Linked DNA regions of Lepisosteus oculatus. Each later gene encodes a partner of the first gene's protein in a complex. Links are inferred from orthologs where the notes say so. Each region holds a gene or a part of one and is shown in the gene's direction. Other genes may lie near its edges.

Evidence for each region.
Region 2: tent4b (region 1) and zcchc7 share a complex: the UniProt entries of both Homo sapiens proteins name them as parts of the nucleolar TRAMP-like complex. The link is inferred for Lepisosteus oculatus from reciprocal best matches to the Homo sapiens genes TENT4B and ZCCHC7.

The regions. Positions count from the first base shown.
Region 1 is NC_090715.1:1,971,280-1,979,218, forward strand, and holds the start of tent4b (terminal nucleotidyltransferase 4B), read left to right. Parts: upstream 1-4,936; 5' UTR 4,937-5,283; coding exon 5,284-5,795; intron 5,796-7,939. Other genes in the region: heatr3 (HEAT repeat-containing protein 3), read left to right, coding at 200-376, 834-956. UniProt on the Homo sapiens protein: Terminal nucleotidyltransferase that catalyzes preferentially the transfer of ATP and GTP on RNA 3' poly(A) tail creating a heterogeneous 3' poly(A) tail leading to mRNAs stabilization by protecting mRNAs from active deadenylation.
Region 2 is NC_090696.1:67,040,553-67,047,942, forward strand, and holds the start of zcchc7 (zinc finger CCHC domain-containing protein 7), read left to right. Parts: upstream 1-4,389; 5' UTR 4,390-4,475; intron 4,476-4,974; exon of another isoform or gene 4,975-5,035; intron 5,036-6,112; 5' UTR 6,113-6,176; intron 6,177-7,249; 5' UTR 7,250-7,254; coding exon 7,255-7,390.

The DNA.
Region 1 (7,939 bases):
TAGATCTCACAGCACTTTTCATGAGAACACGGCAATTAATTTCAGTGGGACATCTTCTTTATGTAAAAGAACAAGATGTGAAGATGATATCTCTAGAAAGTGTTCAGTGCACGTCTGTGATGAATCTGGTCTGTGCTCCAGGACTGAGCCCAGCCTAGAGCCAATGCCACTGTATGTTCTGTTGTGCCTGACTCTGCAGATGATCGGGAACTTCCTCCTGCAAGTCGCGTCGAAGGACCCCAGTCTGGTGGTGTGCGGGGAGGCCCTGGACGCCCTGTTCGACGTGTTCGCGGACGGGCCGGAGGCGGAGCGCGCCGCCAAGGAGATCCGGCTGCTGCCTGCTCTGAGCGCCCTGCAGCCTGTCTTCAAGGCCAAGGTCCGACACGCGAACACGCAGTATTTCCACCTCCCCAGCTGGGCTCGGCAGGACGCCCGTCCAGCCAGGGCATTAGCTAGCTCACTGGGCCTTAAGAGACCAGGCTGATCCTGTTGCTGCAGGTCACTTAAACAATCACAGAGGACGATGACTTTGCAGTGGAGATGTCTGGCCCAGTCCAGCTGATCCTGAGTTTGAATATCAGTAAAAGGTCTGTTCACGAAACCAAAAGGTTTCTCTGCAAGAAGCTACATTGGACAAGTTTTCCTTTTAAGCATCTCCTGTAAATCTCGGACCTCAGCAGTTCTCCCAGTTAAATCGCTAGCTGCTTCTTTCAGCGTTCGTCCTTCTTGAATACCACATCAGCCATCGCCTTGTCTGTGGGCAGAGCCCTGTTCTTTACCTGGTCCAGCAGTCCCTGCCAGTGACGCTCTGTTTTTCCCCTCCTCTCTTCCAGCTGAGGAAAGAAGGCAAGGGGAGCTGCAGCCCGGACCAGCTGTGCGTGCTGGATAACATCAAGATCAACCTCCGCCGCTTCATCAGGTACCAGGAGAGCTTGGAGAAAAACTGCGCTTCTTAGCACTGACTGCTGCTTCGAGAGAGGGAGTCGGGGTCTGTGCACCCCAACTGACTCTGATGGAGGAGCCGTAGGAAAGACTGGAGCTTTGGGAATTTGGGGAATAGCTCCTTCCACCACACCAGAGGACCTGTGTGGAAGACCGGAGTGTTGGCAAAAGCCCTTTGCGCCACACAAGGTGCTTGAGAATGAAATCCATATTTAAATTTTGTTGGTTTGTTTTTTCTTTTTTCTAGAAAGTGTACCGGTCCTGTTTTTTCACCATGGATCGCTTTGTTGATCACAGAATGTAAGGGAAAAAAAATAAAAAACCCAAGGGATGGTTGCAATACTGTATTACCATTTAAATAAAACTTCCTTTGCTATACAATGCAATTCTGAATAAAATGACGCCGTTTTTAAGTTATAACGCAATTCTGAAAGTGTTTTTAAAATTATGAATTCTTCGTTTAATGATCAGTAGTGTGGCACACTTGGGCTTGAAGTCTTACAGTTTTTCAAGACTGGACACGCATCCCTGCTAGCCAGGAATTTCACGACGTAGGGCTTTATTATAATATGGGTTTGCTGTCTCACTGGGCTTCATACTGGTGGCAGATGTGGCTGGTGGCTTTTCTGTTGTCTAGTATCTGTAGTGTCTGGGCTGTGCCATCAGCTGGGTTCTCTACGTGTTTCATGTATTTATATTTTAGCTCTTTTTGGTGTGATATCTTCGAGGTTCTGGTTTGCTCACCGTACTGAAGACCCGCTCCACATCCTCCTCTCCTTACGCAGGTTCTTCTTGAACTGGGTGAAAAGTGTTTAAGGGGAAGGTTGTGTGCTCCTTTCCTTTCTGCACTGAAGCCCTGCGCTGTGCAGCCACTGATAAAAGGGTTGTGTCCGGGTAGCAGGAGGCGTCCTGCTCTTTGGTACAGATGAACACTGCCAGTAAGCAGGTAACTCAGAGCTTACTGCTGTCCTGTGGTGGAGGTGAGGAAATCACTGGGCTAATGAGGAAGATGAGCCAGTTCCATTTGAGCTCTTGATACAGTGTTTTAGGTTTGGGAAATTCACAAATTAGTGCGAATCTGTGTTTATTAATATCGGTAAAAGATTTTATAATCGGTTCTTTCTAACTGCACTTGTCTGTAAATGTTCAACTCTCAGTCCCGGTTCCTCACAGATACCTCTTCTATTTGGGAGTAACTACCCCGTTTAAGATGCTCATCAGAATGGCAAAGCTAAGTCAGTTTCTGCATACAGTTGCTGTAAACCACTCCTGAAGTCTACCTGAATAATGCATTTGAGCAAAAAGTTATCTTGTATTTCTGGATATTCTTTATCAGCTCAGTAAAAGTAAATATCTATATCAACATGTTGTAAAAATATGTATGTAATCTAGCAAGTGTAAATCACACCATTACACCTTCAATGTTTATAATCTTAAAAGTTCAAAGTCTGTACAGTCTGGAGATAAACCAAGCCCAGTCTCTGAGGGTATAGTGTTTCACTCGTAAACAGCCCAGGACTTTAATTGCTTTATTGTTGTTAGCGAAATGAGAGGTTATTCTTCATTTTTCGCACACCATGGATGACATGTAGGCGATGTCAGAGCAGGTAAGGGGGAGTCGGGGAGGAATGTCGAGCGAATAATTTTCCACTCCTCCATGCAGGGTGTTTATAGTCCAGGAAAGACACGCACCCGCCACGTGCGAGCCGTGCAAGAGCTGAGTGTTGATTCAGGCTCGTGGACGCCCACGCACCTGGGTTTTCATTCCGCTCGGCTCTCCTTCACGTGCTCGAACCCTTAATTTGCCTCATCGTAGGATTCATCTGAGCCTTTTTTAATTGTTCTCAGTTCCTGAACGTTTTGGAAGGTGCCCCTCTACGATTGCGTCCCACAATTGAAATGTAGGATCTCCGGGATCGGGGGGATCTGAGGAGGAAAAACTTGATTCCAATCTCAGTGTCGGCTCAGTTAAGAATTTGGTTAAGTTAAGGAGCTCACCGGGAATGAAGAACAGCAGGTGAGGGGTCCGGGGACCCCCTTTGTTAAATGGGGCGAACGTTGGGCTAGTTTGGCCAAGGCTGACGTGAGAGGGGAGCCAGCTGCGTGCACCTCCTCGCAGTCTACGAGACGGGGAAGCAGACGGAGGAGAACAGGGAAGACTTCGTCACACGGACAGGCATTTAAACAGGTATGTCCTGAATGTGAAAAATGTCTTGTGTCCCTTTTGTTAGTGCTGTTATTGTGGTAGGAAGAAAGCCGCTTGCCTCCCATTAGTGATTCCTTTTTCGGACCCGCCTTCCAGCACAGATGACTGAAAACTGAAAGCAGTCTTGCAGGGAGCGACAGCTGCCAGCTGCACTGTGTGTAGGAGGAGCCATAGGGCTGAAGAGGCTGGAAAAGAGAGGCACTTCACTGCTCTTCTCCCATTCAGGTTTCTCTTACCTGCGTACTGCGGTTACTGAAGGTGATGGAAAGGCGCTACGCTGCAAATGTTAAATGTGTTTTTAAACAGTTGTTCTGAGGAAATACCAGAGAGGTGCAATGGAACAGCAGGCCAAGGGCTCATTGAGCCTTGTTTCACTTCTCCTGTGTGTCTCCAAATAGAAGAACAGCCGGAGACACTGCAGACTCTAGATAAAAAAAAACAATTATCATTCTCATCCTGCGGTCCATGTGGGTCCTAATGCCCCAGTATAGTGACGGGGACACTATACTGTAAACAGGCGCCGTCCTTCGGATGAGACGTAAAACCGAGGTCCTGACTCTCTGTGGTCATTAAAAATTCCAGAGCGTTTCTCGAAAAGAGTAGGGGTGTAACCCCGGTGTCCTGGCCAAATTTCCCATTGGCCCTTACCAATCATGGCCTCCTAATAATCCCCCTCTATGAATTGACTACATTACTCTGCTCTCCTCCCCACTGAGAGCTGATGTGTGGTGAGCGTTCTGGCGCACTATGGCTGCCGTCGCATCATCCAGGTGGGGCTGCACACTGGTGGTGGTGGAGGGGATCCCCATTACCTGTAAAGCGCTTTGAGTGGAGTGTCCAGAAAAGCGCTATATAAGTGTAAGAAATTATTATTATTATTATTATTATTATTAATCTTTCAAATTAATCTGCTCTTTCTGGTTACACAGCCTTCGTAAATCCCGTGCCGAAAGGGGTATCTGTTTATTTCAGCACTTGCATTTCTTAATCTAAAATGTTGTGTCATCCTCAACTTCTAAGTACTGAATTATAGTTAAAGGAGTTAAAGGAGATAAAACTGGGTACATATCACAGGTGTCCAGGTGACAGGTGTCTGAAGGAGCTGAGGAAATGTGGGCATATACAGTCTGCCACTGCCCTGATGTCTCTGAGTACCTGGTTCCACCGATAGAGGGCAGGAGAGAGGAGTGAGCAGCACAAGAGTGAAGAGCTGGACATGGTCAAGGAGGACTGGAGTATTGGAGACAGGGGAGGCTGCAGACCAGTGGGACATAGTAATAATAATGATAGTAATAATACACTTCATTTTGTATAGTGTCTTTATAAGCTTCTCAAGACCCTTTAAAGTAAGGGGAAAGAACTATGATAGGAGATAAAAAGTACAACATAAAAGAAAAAGAGTGTGGTGTAACATGCAAATCAGTTTAGTAAAAGCCCTTCTGAAGAAGGTCCTGAGATGGGCAGGGAGGACAGGAGAGCGTACTGGACACGGGCAGGGGGGTGAAGCAGGCTGCAGTCCGGCAGGAGGTGAAATGAGAGGACAGGGGACGTCAAAATAGAAAAAGAAAATCTGTACGCATAAACCTCTCCATCGACTCCATCGAGGCTCATTGGAAAGAACGTCATTTTCCAAATCGGGGATGGTGAGCACCCTAACAGGGTGTAAACAGTTGATTCTTGAGTCGACACCTTGTTTCCAAGACTGATTTGTTACTGTTACGTAACAAGACAAAAATGTTGACGCGCGATGGCGTCACAGCGGGCTGTCCCCGCCCCCTCCGCGGCGCGGCTGCGCAGTGGGCCGCGCTGGCCGCCATTGAGGGACCCGGAGAGAGAGAGGGGTCAGACGAACAGCGACAGGCGAGGGTTGTGCGCCGCCGTGATCTGGGATCTCCTTCTTCTTGCTGTCAAAACTGAACTTTTGTCATAGTTGGAGGGTTTTTTTGTTTTTAAATATTTCGTGCTTTCTGTCTCCTTCCGTTTTTTGTTCTCCGATTTTAAAGGGATTCTTATTTAAGGGGTGATATTTATAATAACATCGCACTGCGAGGAGCCAGCCTTGCTGCGCCGCACACGCGTACGGTCTGAGCCTCGCTCGGGGCAGGCACGGTGCGTGTCGTGCCCACTAGCGTTTGATGGATCCGAGAATCGCCTGGTTTCAGCCAGAACAGCTCGGACCTGCCAACAGCTTGTGGATGCAGATCTGGGAGACGACGCAGGGTCTGAGCAACCTGTACTTCAACAACAACTACAGCAGCGGCAGCAGCAGCGGGGGGACGGCCGACGCCAGCTCGGCGAAGAGCGGGGCTCCCAGCGAGGGCAGGAGCCCTGGCATGTCTAACGCCAGGCCGGAGGGCGAGATCGGGCAGCAGCGGGACTTTTTACCCTTGGAGACCAACAACAACCGGCCAGCGGGGAGGGGCGGCGGGGCCGGAGGGGGGGGCGGAGGGGGCGCCGGGGGCTGGAGAGGGGGCTCGGACCTGCGCAACAAGAGGAAGCGGGACAACAAGGCGAGCACCTTCGGGTTCAACAGCAGCCTGCTGCTCCCGGGCTCCGGGGGCAACGGGGTGGCAGGAGGAGGCGGCGGCGGCGGCGGCTACACTGGGACGCCGTGGAAGACGAGGAACTACTCCGAAGGGATTCTGGGGTAAGCGCCGAGCACGATCGCCGCTGTCAGCAGCCTGCGCTGGCCCGCTGGCCCGCTGGCAGCGCTCCGGGTGGCGGTGCCGTGTGTCGGGGGCAGGCGGTTTTGCGCAGTTGCGTGCCTTCATGGCTTTTCCACGGGCTACTCGAGCCCTTAGCGCCGCTGAGCCCCCGTCCCGTGGGCGCCGACATGCGTGTCGCTGGTTCTCTGGTGACCTTGTGGACGAGCTGAGCGCCCCGGAGAGTTTCCGAGCCAGTCAGTGACTTGGGGTTGTATTTATTTATTTGTTCCCCTACTCTGGTCGCGGTGGGGGGGTAAGAGGGCAGTAGTGCAGGGGAGAAGAAGGGCGCAGGGCAGAGCCTGGCGGGCGCTTGTCGTGAGGTTTCGATCGGAAACGGGTCGTGAAAGGGCCGGTGCCGACGCGGTGCCAGTCCGCGCTGGATGACCGTTGAGTAACACACTCGTGTCGCCCGAAGGCTCGTCTGGTCTTGACGTGCGCTGTTTTCTTGTTCTTCCCGCAAACCACGACTATGTCAAAATAATTTAAAAAAAGAAAACTGGCCGTGGCGGGGGGTCCGCTCGGTTGCGAGGGGAGTCTGGTTCGCGCACCTTCCAGTACTTTCTTCACAGCAACTTTGACGCCTCTCCCTCCCTCCTTCCCTCAGCCTGTTCCGTAAGGGGGTGTGGATGTGACTGGATCGCACAGTGTGCGCCCGGAGAGCTGCCCCGCTCGCTGGCCGGAGGACTCCCGGCTGCAGTTTAGTTGCGCTTCTCCTGCACTTACCTGTACGGTCTCCTCACGGAAGCGAGCCCCGGGCGAGTTCGGTCGAGCCGGGAGAGAGTCGGTGTCGTTTCCAGCATTGTTCAGAAACCGCCGCCCGGAGAAGCGTAGGCTTTGCAGCAGAGGTGTCCTGTGGAACTTTTTGAACCTGTCGATCCAGTGCAATAATTGGCCTTGCTCGTCAATTGAATTTTAAAATATAAGTGCATTTTTAGATTAATAAAATAGTGAGAAGTGCATTCGCATAGTAAGTGCTTTTAATCCTCCTCGTTAAAAGTGCTGCGTGTCTAAGTCGGTCCCGCACTCAGAAAGTTGTTTAAAAGCGGATATTTTTAGATTCTAGCTGTTTTAATGACTAAATAAGATTTGTCAGGGTGGTTACAGGCAAGAACAACAGAAAACGTGACATATCCCCGTTTGTTCAGTAATATTTTAATTCTACTCACTTGATCTGGGTACAAGGAATGAGAATTAACGTTTACATTTTTGTCCTGCGGACTTAAGCATTCCGTGTATGAGTTGTTATAGCAAGTATGTCAAATCAGCACATTGAGTTTTATGACTGTAGTAAGTATTTGCCAGTTGTTTTGAATATTTTAAGCAGCGTTTTGAGCAGCTATCTGAGTGACGACCCAGTCCGTGTCACTTGCTTGAAGGTTCTGGAGAACTGTTGAAAGGCAGAACCCGAACACCTGTCCTGCTGTGCATTGCAACATTACACAGGCAGAAACCGTATGGAAGTGCATTTTAAACAAAGGCTCTTCTTTACACAAACAGTGGTGGGGGTGTGGAACAAGCTGCCCATCCGTGCTGTTGAAGCCAATATCCTGGCTTCCTTCAAGACGGCGGAATGAGATCCTGGGATCAATTATTTGGTATACCAAATAGGTCAGATGTAATAATAATAATTGCTTACACGTCTATAGCACTTTTCTGGACACTGCACTCAAAGCGCTTTACAGGTAATGGGGATCCCCTCCACCACCACCACCAGTGTGTACCCCCACCTGGATGATGCGACGGTAGCCAGAGTGCACCAGTACGCTCCCCACACACCGGCTCTCAGTGGGGAGGAGACCAGAGTGATGAAGCCAGTTCAGAGATGGGGATTTTTAGGAGGCCATCATTGGTAAAGGCCACTGGGAACTTTTGCCTGGGCGCCAGGTAACACCCGTACTCTTTTCGAGAAACAGAATTAATTTTTAATGAATACAGAGAGACAGGACCTTAGTTTTACGTCTCATCCGAAGGACGGCGCCTTTTCTTTTTACAGTGCAGTGTCCCCATCACTATACTGGGGCATTAGGACCCACATGGACCACAGGGTGAGCGCCCCCTGTTGGCCCCATTAACACCTCTTCCAGCA
Region 2 (7,390 bases), on another chromosome or scaffold:
GGTGACTCTATATATAAAATAGCATGCAAGACACAAACACATCCAAGCTGCACAACAGGTTAGTGATCTTTAATCATTCTTGATTGGATGCGTAGGCAAACTAGACAGAATGGAATGACATGAGCCAAGTGGCTATACTATTCTATTCTATACAGCACTATACTATACAGTATTGCACTATACTAAGAGTTCTAGAGTATCTACCTCTAAAGTTCTCCACCACCTTAGAATGTAAGGTTTGAAAAGAAACGAGCAAAGGTTATGTCAAAGGAATCAGGTTGCAGGTCTGACAATGGATGCCACTGCAACTTAGATATGGAGTCAAGAGTGGATTCACAAAATTATACTGTGTCTTAAATGGATGCACTACACAAGTAATGGCATACACAATAAGCATATACATACTTTCCAACAGCATTTTATATGAAAAACTGTTAACACTGCTTCAGGAGGTCTATGGAATACGAGCATAGCATACAGTTTGGCTTCAGATTGTACTCTATGCTTAAGACGTCCCATGTTAATTGCACTTAGGAGGCATCATCTGGAGATGATCCAATGCTTAAAGAACACAGACAAACCATGAGAGAAAACAAAATAACTGAAAATCATCAATAAGGTGGGTACTTGTTTTATTTTTCTAGTTGTTTTATTCAGAATAAAAGCTCTGAATATTGCTAATTATTTAGCAAAATAGAACATTTATCATCCCAATAAATCTCTCTTCACAATAGAGAAGACGATTCTCTGTTATTAATATTTGTAGCAAATGCAGAATAAATCACAGTTATCTTTGCTGTAACTCACAATGTAGGATACAACTACTGTGAGGTGAGAACACTAAGACATGATGTTATATGGGCCTCAGTCTTTTGTCCATTAATCTGTTATACCCTGTGTTCAATGCAGAACCTGTCCATCAAACTGGCCAGAGCGGTGGTACACAATACCAATCCTGGAACACTACAGAGCTCTGAGTCCGAAGGCTCTGGCCTTTCTAACTCAATTCAATAATTTGATAATATAACACTATTCTAACATCTTGTTGATGATTTAAAGTGCCTTATAAAAACAAACCTGTTGTATTGTGACTTTCCAGCTCTGCAATTGTATGAATAGTGTACAACATTAGCAATAGCACATGGTGAACAGTACTGGTTCTGGGGAGTTTTATAGGTCAGCTTTAAGAATACCAGTGTCTATATGAGACTGTTTCCTACTTCATCATTAGGAATGAGCCCATTAACTCTCATCATTGCAAGGCCAGAGTTTCTCCCTTCACTCTCAGTGGAACACATTGATTGGTAAAACAACCAAATGCTTACAGTACATTTGTTATAAATGAATTAATGTTAATTGATGATCAAGAGTAACTTGTAAACTCTGCTGGAGTTTGGTTCTCCAGAACTGGGACCAGCCCATCTAGATGCTAGAGCAGGTCTACTGGTGATGTTGGTGACCAAAAAAGGTTGTTAACTGTTAAATATATTTGTAACAAATCAAATTAATTAAACAATATTTCGAGTCAAACTCTGTTGGAATAAATGAGGACTGTTTACTGACTAGCCCTGCTACAGAGACTGGAGCAAAGGTGGTCAGCCACAGTTTTCCAAGAAATCTAATAAAAGTTATATCTAGATCTATTATGAACATATAAATCTAATTTTCAAACGCTGGGGGCAGGATGCTGTGTTGCATAAATAGCTAGCCACTCCCCTGTTATGAATAAAACACAGACAAATAAATCTGGTAATTCAAAACAAAAAAATATAAATGCCAATGGGACACTTATGACTTCAAAAATAAAAATCTATACTGTTTTTTTTTTAAAAAACATTAATTAGTCTCTACAATCTATTATTATCATTTTATAATGGAGCTATTGACCTTTGCAAAATGCCACGAACAGACTCAGCAGCAGCACCAACACCAATGCAAAGTATGGTGCACTGGTTAGTGTTTTATCCAAGAATTGAATTTTAATTTCAATTGAAATTTCGTAGCAACAACAGAGGATGATAAAAATGAACAGCTTTTACAGAAGGCATTAACATTTCACACAAAATACTCATTTTGTTTTGCTGCACAAATGTTCAGTGCAGAGATGTGGCCAACATTAAGCGCACAAACACAGTAATGAATATGGTCTCCTTCTGCTGTTGCACAAGCCTCAGCAGTACCATCTTGTGCGTCTTATCAGTGTCTGGGTTATTCTCTGTGGGTGGAGACTAGGTGGTCCAGTGGTTAAGGAATAAGGCCTTGTTACCAGTAAAAGCCTCTGGCAAACAGAAAGCTCCATCAAAGGATGCATGTGGAATTAGATATTGGCAAGAGGGCTGGAACTGTGATTTAATCCAGGCCGTAGTCTGAATAATGAAGCTCTATCAACACAAATCCTTGATTTGAACATCATGGCAGGTATTCATAACTCAAAGCTTAGGACTAAAGACTTTCAAACAAGGTGCAGGAGACGAATGGCTCTGTATTTAACAGATGAACAGTTGCAAGCCTATGGAATAGTCAATGAGAGTTTTTGCCTGCATCCCCTGAAAAAACCTCCAACAATAAATCAAAATCAAGTCTCAAATCTTTTTTTTTTCTATAGACATGACTGATTCCCATCTCTACCTAATTTAGTTCTAAAAACTCCCATGGAAGCTCAGCCATGAATCACAAAGACATAATGTAGAAAAGCTTGCCTTTGGGTGCAAACAATTGCTGTTTTTTTTTATGGCATTGCCAGTATGACATGCATGGCAAATTATTCCAACTCAGATGGTGAATCAAACAGTGATTTTCTGTAATTTGCTAAGAAGCAGGACAGCAATCTACAGGCTCAGCTCAAAGCATATGGATGCAAATGGTGTAAAATGGGGGCATTAATGTCTAAAATATAGATACTATGAACAACAATTGTAGCATGTATAAGAAGCAGCTACACCTGTTACTGCATGATTTTTAGTAAGTGGAAGGCAATGAGGGAAGGGATTTGACCATGACTTGTCTGATGCCATGAAGCACAGACAGTGTTTAAAATTCCTTTTAATTCAAAACTCTTGACTAGATAGTTTTCACTGACCTCTGCTTCTGCAAATAGGTGACAAAGTAGATGCTGTAGGTTTTTCACTAAACAGGAAAAGGCTCGTCTGTGCTATGGACTTAAAAAATTCCTGGGGTCAATAATGCTTTGTCCATCTTAATCAATATTACAACAGGTAACAATCCTTAAAGATGACAGAATGGAGTCCAAAGAGTACGGGGCAGGTCAATAAACAGGAGTATTTAAACAAAAGTTCTGTAAATAAAAAACAAACTTTATTATGCCAAAACTGCAAATTTAAACTAAAACATTCTCTCATTGTTTTTGCTGCTGTTAAATATACACACTTGCTTGGGAGAAGAAAATATTTTGAGAGTTAACAAAGTAAATAATAATAATAATAATAATAATAATAATAATAATAATAATAATAATAATAATAATAATAATACGAAGCAACTCCGTTTCCACTTTTAGGTGAAATTCGAAACCTTTACTTAAATGACACCATCGAAAATTTATGTAAATGAACGTATTGTTTGTTATTTTTATTCGGTGTTTATCCTATAAAATTTACAGGGCGGCGAAACGTTCGCTATCCGCTTTATCTATGTAATGTAATAGAGAGGACGAAGCACAAGAAGCAAACTTAGCAGCACAAACGTAAATATTATTACATACAATACATTTAGAAATGATATAAACAAACGACAGTCGCGAATCACTGTTATTTCATTTTCCCCTATAATACGTTTCGAATTTATATGGGAAATATAACTTCGGTACGGGTTTACAGTAGCTTAAGTTAGACACTACTGTGTTATATGATACAACATTATAATTAATCTTGTTGACAGTTGTGTCACCCTCAATATTGTTGCATTTCGCTGGGATATACAAATCTTAAGAAGTTACGAATTCCAGTGAAAAACAGTTATTTTAAAAACTATATGTCGTACTTACAAATGTAAATATAAATGTTCAGGATTTGAGTACGTTAATGGACAACAAGAACCCAATGTTTTATACAAAAATGGAAGATACAAATTTGAAGTTACTACCGCTGTCTGCGCTACATAACGGTCTTGTCTTGTCTCACATTCACTACAGTTAGACATTTATGGTATTAAAATACAATACTTATGGTATCAAGTGGTATAACATAGTTCACACTGTGTGCGTGTTTCTTAAAAGCACACGATTTAATGGCATGTATCTCTCCCTGCTGTGAGTTCTAAGACTTCGTTTTCAGTTCACCGTGACATTAATGCTACAGTACCTTCGCTTCCCGAGACGTGCATGGAAACTCCGGGAAAGACTGAGCAATGTGATCATCGTCCAACCAGCTCCTCCAAACTCCGTGCTGACATTGGTCGGACAGCGGAATGTGTTTTTACTGTAATGTCTGAAGTTGTGGCTGAAAACTAATACACGGGTGAGTTTAAAGTGACATAAGAATACAAAATCCAGTGCAGAAAGGCAAGCTGGATATTGTATTTGAAATGGTCAAACTAGCGTGGCTTATGTTTTTAAAGCCCTAGAGTACAGTACGCGTTGAGTGATTTGTTTATAGTCTGCCGGTAGTTACACTGAGTGGTTGAACACGTGGGTACACAAGCTTTTAAGATTTTAGGATATACAGTGTGAACTGATTAATAATACCTAAATATTTTGCTTCTCTGCCACGATTTCCTATTCTCTGTTTTACACTGTCTAAATGTAGGTGTTAGACAAACACTGTCATTAGGTACTAGTTTGTGCACAGAGAATAGGAGCTAACACAAATACGTCCACACACTGTTCTATAGTGTTTTTAAGTTAATGTATTCAGTGGGTGTTATTCTAGTTTAAAATACATTTTAATCGCATCACAAAAGTATCTTTACGTTTTTATTTGTTTTGCTGTTTTGTTTTTCTCATTTGGATATCTGCAGATAAACAGATGGCGACAGGGACAGAATTCGTTTCTTTTACACGTTTATGATGTCAAATTAGGTGTGTGTGAGTGAGTACAAATATTCGAAAGCATAAGTGTTTTTCAAAGGCAAAACCGTGAACAACTTGTTAAGTCATGAGAGACTGTGCAACCTGTGGGCATTGAGCTCTGAAGGGACTTATTAAAAATCCAACCAGATGGAAGGCCTACAAACTGTTCTTGTTTTTACCATCATAAATATATCTGGAAAACGTTTTTCATCAATTTCTATATAAATTATCACTTACACATATCATTTCAGCTGTGATCAGTATATGAAATGAGAGCACAATTATTCAAAGAATCTTAAACTGCAACAGACACAAAACATTACCAGGAAAAATAATATTTACAGTGTAGAAGGTGCGCTAATTTGAATGACATATGTGTGCACTTCTGTGTGGTTTTGGGCCTATGGCTTGTATCGTCATGTTACAATGTCCACTTTTGGCCAACCTTGATCTTCTTGGCAGAGGAAACCAGGAGTTTGGCCAAAAATACCCCGGTACAGGTTGAAGTTCACCATTCCTTCACACTCCAGGATCTGTAGATGAAAAACCAACCCAAAACATAATTGACTTCCCGCCATATTTCACAGTAGGCATGAGTGTTTTCTCAGCGTGAGCTTCATCTTCTTAATGCCAAACTAGCTGCGCAGCGTGTCTAAAAAGATAAAATTTTGTTTAATCTGAGCATATGATGTGCTTCCAACTGTTAATTTGTGTTTGTCCTCATTTTCCTTACAAACCTGCCTGTCACATTTATGAAGGCGATGGTGAATGGTACAGTAGTTCTCAACACTTTGTGTTCTAAAGATGCTGGTTTGTTTTGGAGATCTCCAGCTATTACATTTGGATTTACAGTAGGGCCTACCAAACCACTTGACTTGTGTCCTCTTTCTGGCAAGGCTGCCACTATTAGTAGCCTTAGGAGGACAGGAATAAGAGCTGAATAGCAGGATGAGTTTCAACTGTCAGCCAGTCCCTGCTGGGACACTCATGGTTAGGTTAATTGGTAGGTGCAGTGAGTAATCCTCAGCTATAGGAAATAATTGATCTCTATCTCTCATTCTGTTTTTTTTTTATTTTATGTCAAAGGCCACTGGATAGAAAGAGAAAGAGATCTAAAGGGACAGGGAATCGGCGTGGCAGTAGAACTCAGGTAAGTCATTTCAGAGAATTTGAGGGTCAATTTTTGCACCTCAGGATTTTGTCATTTGTGTGGGGGTGAACAGCTTACACGGGAGTCTGCCTATGCTCCTTTAAATCCCTGACCATTCAGGATGAAAATGATCCATGAATAAAAGGAACAAATTTGGGCACAAATCATTTTCCCTCTCCCTCTTACATCCTCCTCTTTTTTGTATTATTCCTTGGTCGGTGGCTTGTGACCATCTTTGCCATCTCCTTCATTCAGACTATGTCTCTTTAATCAGCCATTATAGCTTCAGACACGCTGGGTTGAACCGGACTATGGGCTTGTATTGAGTAGCTCTGGCATTCATTTATTTTATTTATGTTTTCTAAATCTGAGTCATTCGTATGCTTGGTGAACATCTGTTCCTGCAAAGCATAGGAGTTGAGTGCACTGTAAAGGGTGTGGGATAAATGAAAAGAGGAATAGTGGAGTAACACTGAAAATGTTAAGTCTCTTCTGTTTTTTTTAGAAGAGACTGGAGTTTTGCACCTTTGGAAATTAACCTATCAGATCTTTGTTTGGAAGCAAACTCTGCCCTTTGCAGTTCTTGCAACATTTTACATTACATAAGGCAAAGTGTTTGATGAGTAGTGATGCTGAAGCATAGGAGACCAGTACAGAAAAGGATGTTGCAAACCTGTATATCTGACAGTATGAAGTTAGAAGGTAAACCATTAAAGCTAAAAGGGATGAAGTGATCCTTGTAAATTCAGGCGGGTTTGTTTTTTTAACTTGGATGATACAGAATTACTTTGGGGTGCTCAGTCTCTCTTTTGTCAAAGCAAACTCCTCTGTTTTTCAGTAAGGATCCTGCTTTCATCAACACAAGAGTAAGACAAAATAAATGCAAACGACGATTGTGAACTTGTCAGCTGGGACGAGTGGTGTTCTATCTCAGTCCTGGAGTCACTTGACCTCCTCAGTGGTCAAAGACATGAAAGGGGTGAATTGTCCTGTCTAATGGTGAGGTACTTTAGGCGAGGTTTTTCTGTCATGTTACCTGATGTCAACAGTCTGTCGATCACCTGTTTCCACAGCCAACATGTTTGCTGGGTATGAGTCTATGGAGGAGTATGAGGACGAGCTGTACAAGGAGCCAGGGCAATCCAGCGACTCCGAGCTCGACAGCGAGGTGGAGTTCCACTTGTACAGTCAGGTCCACTATGCCAGCAGGGCCG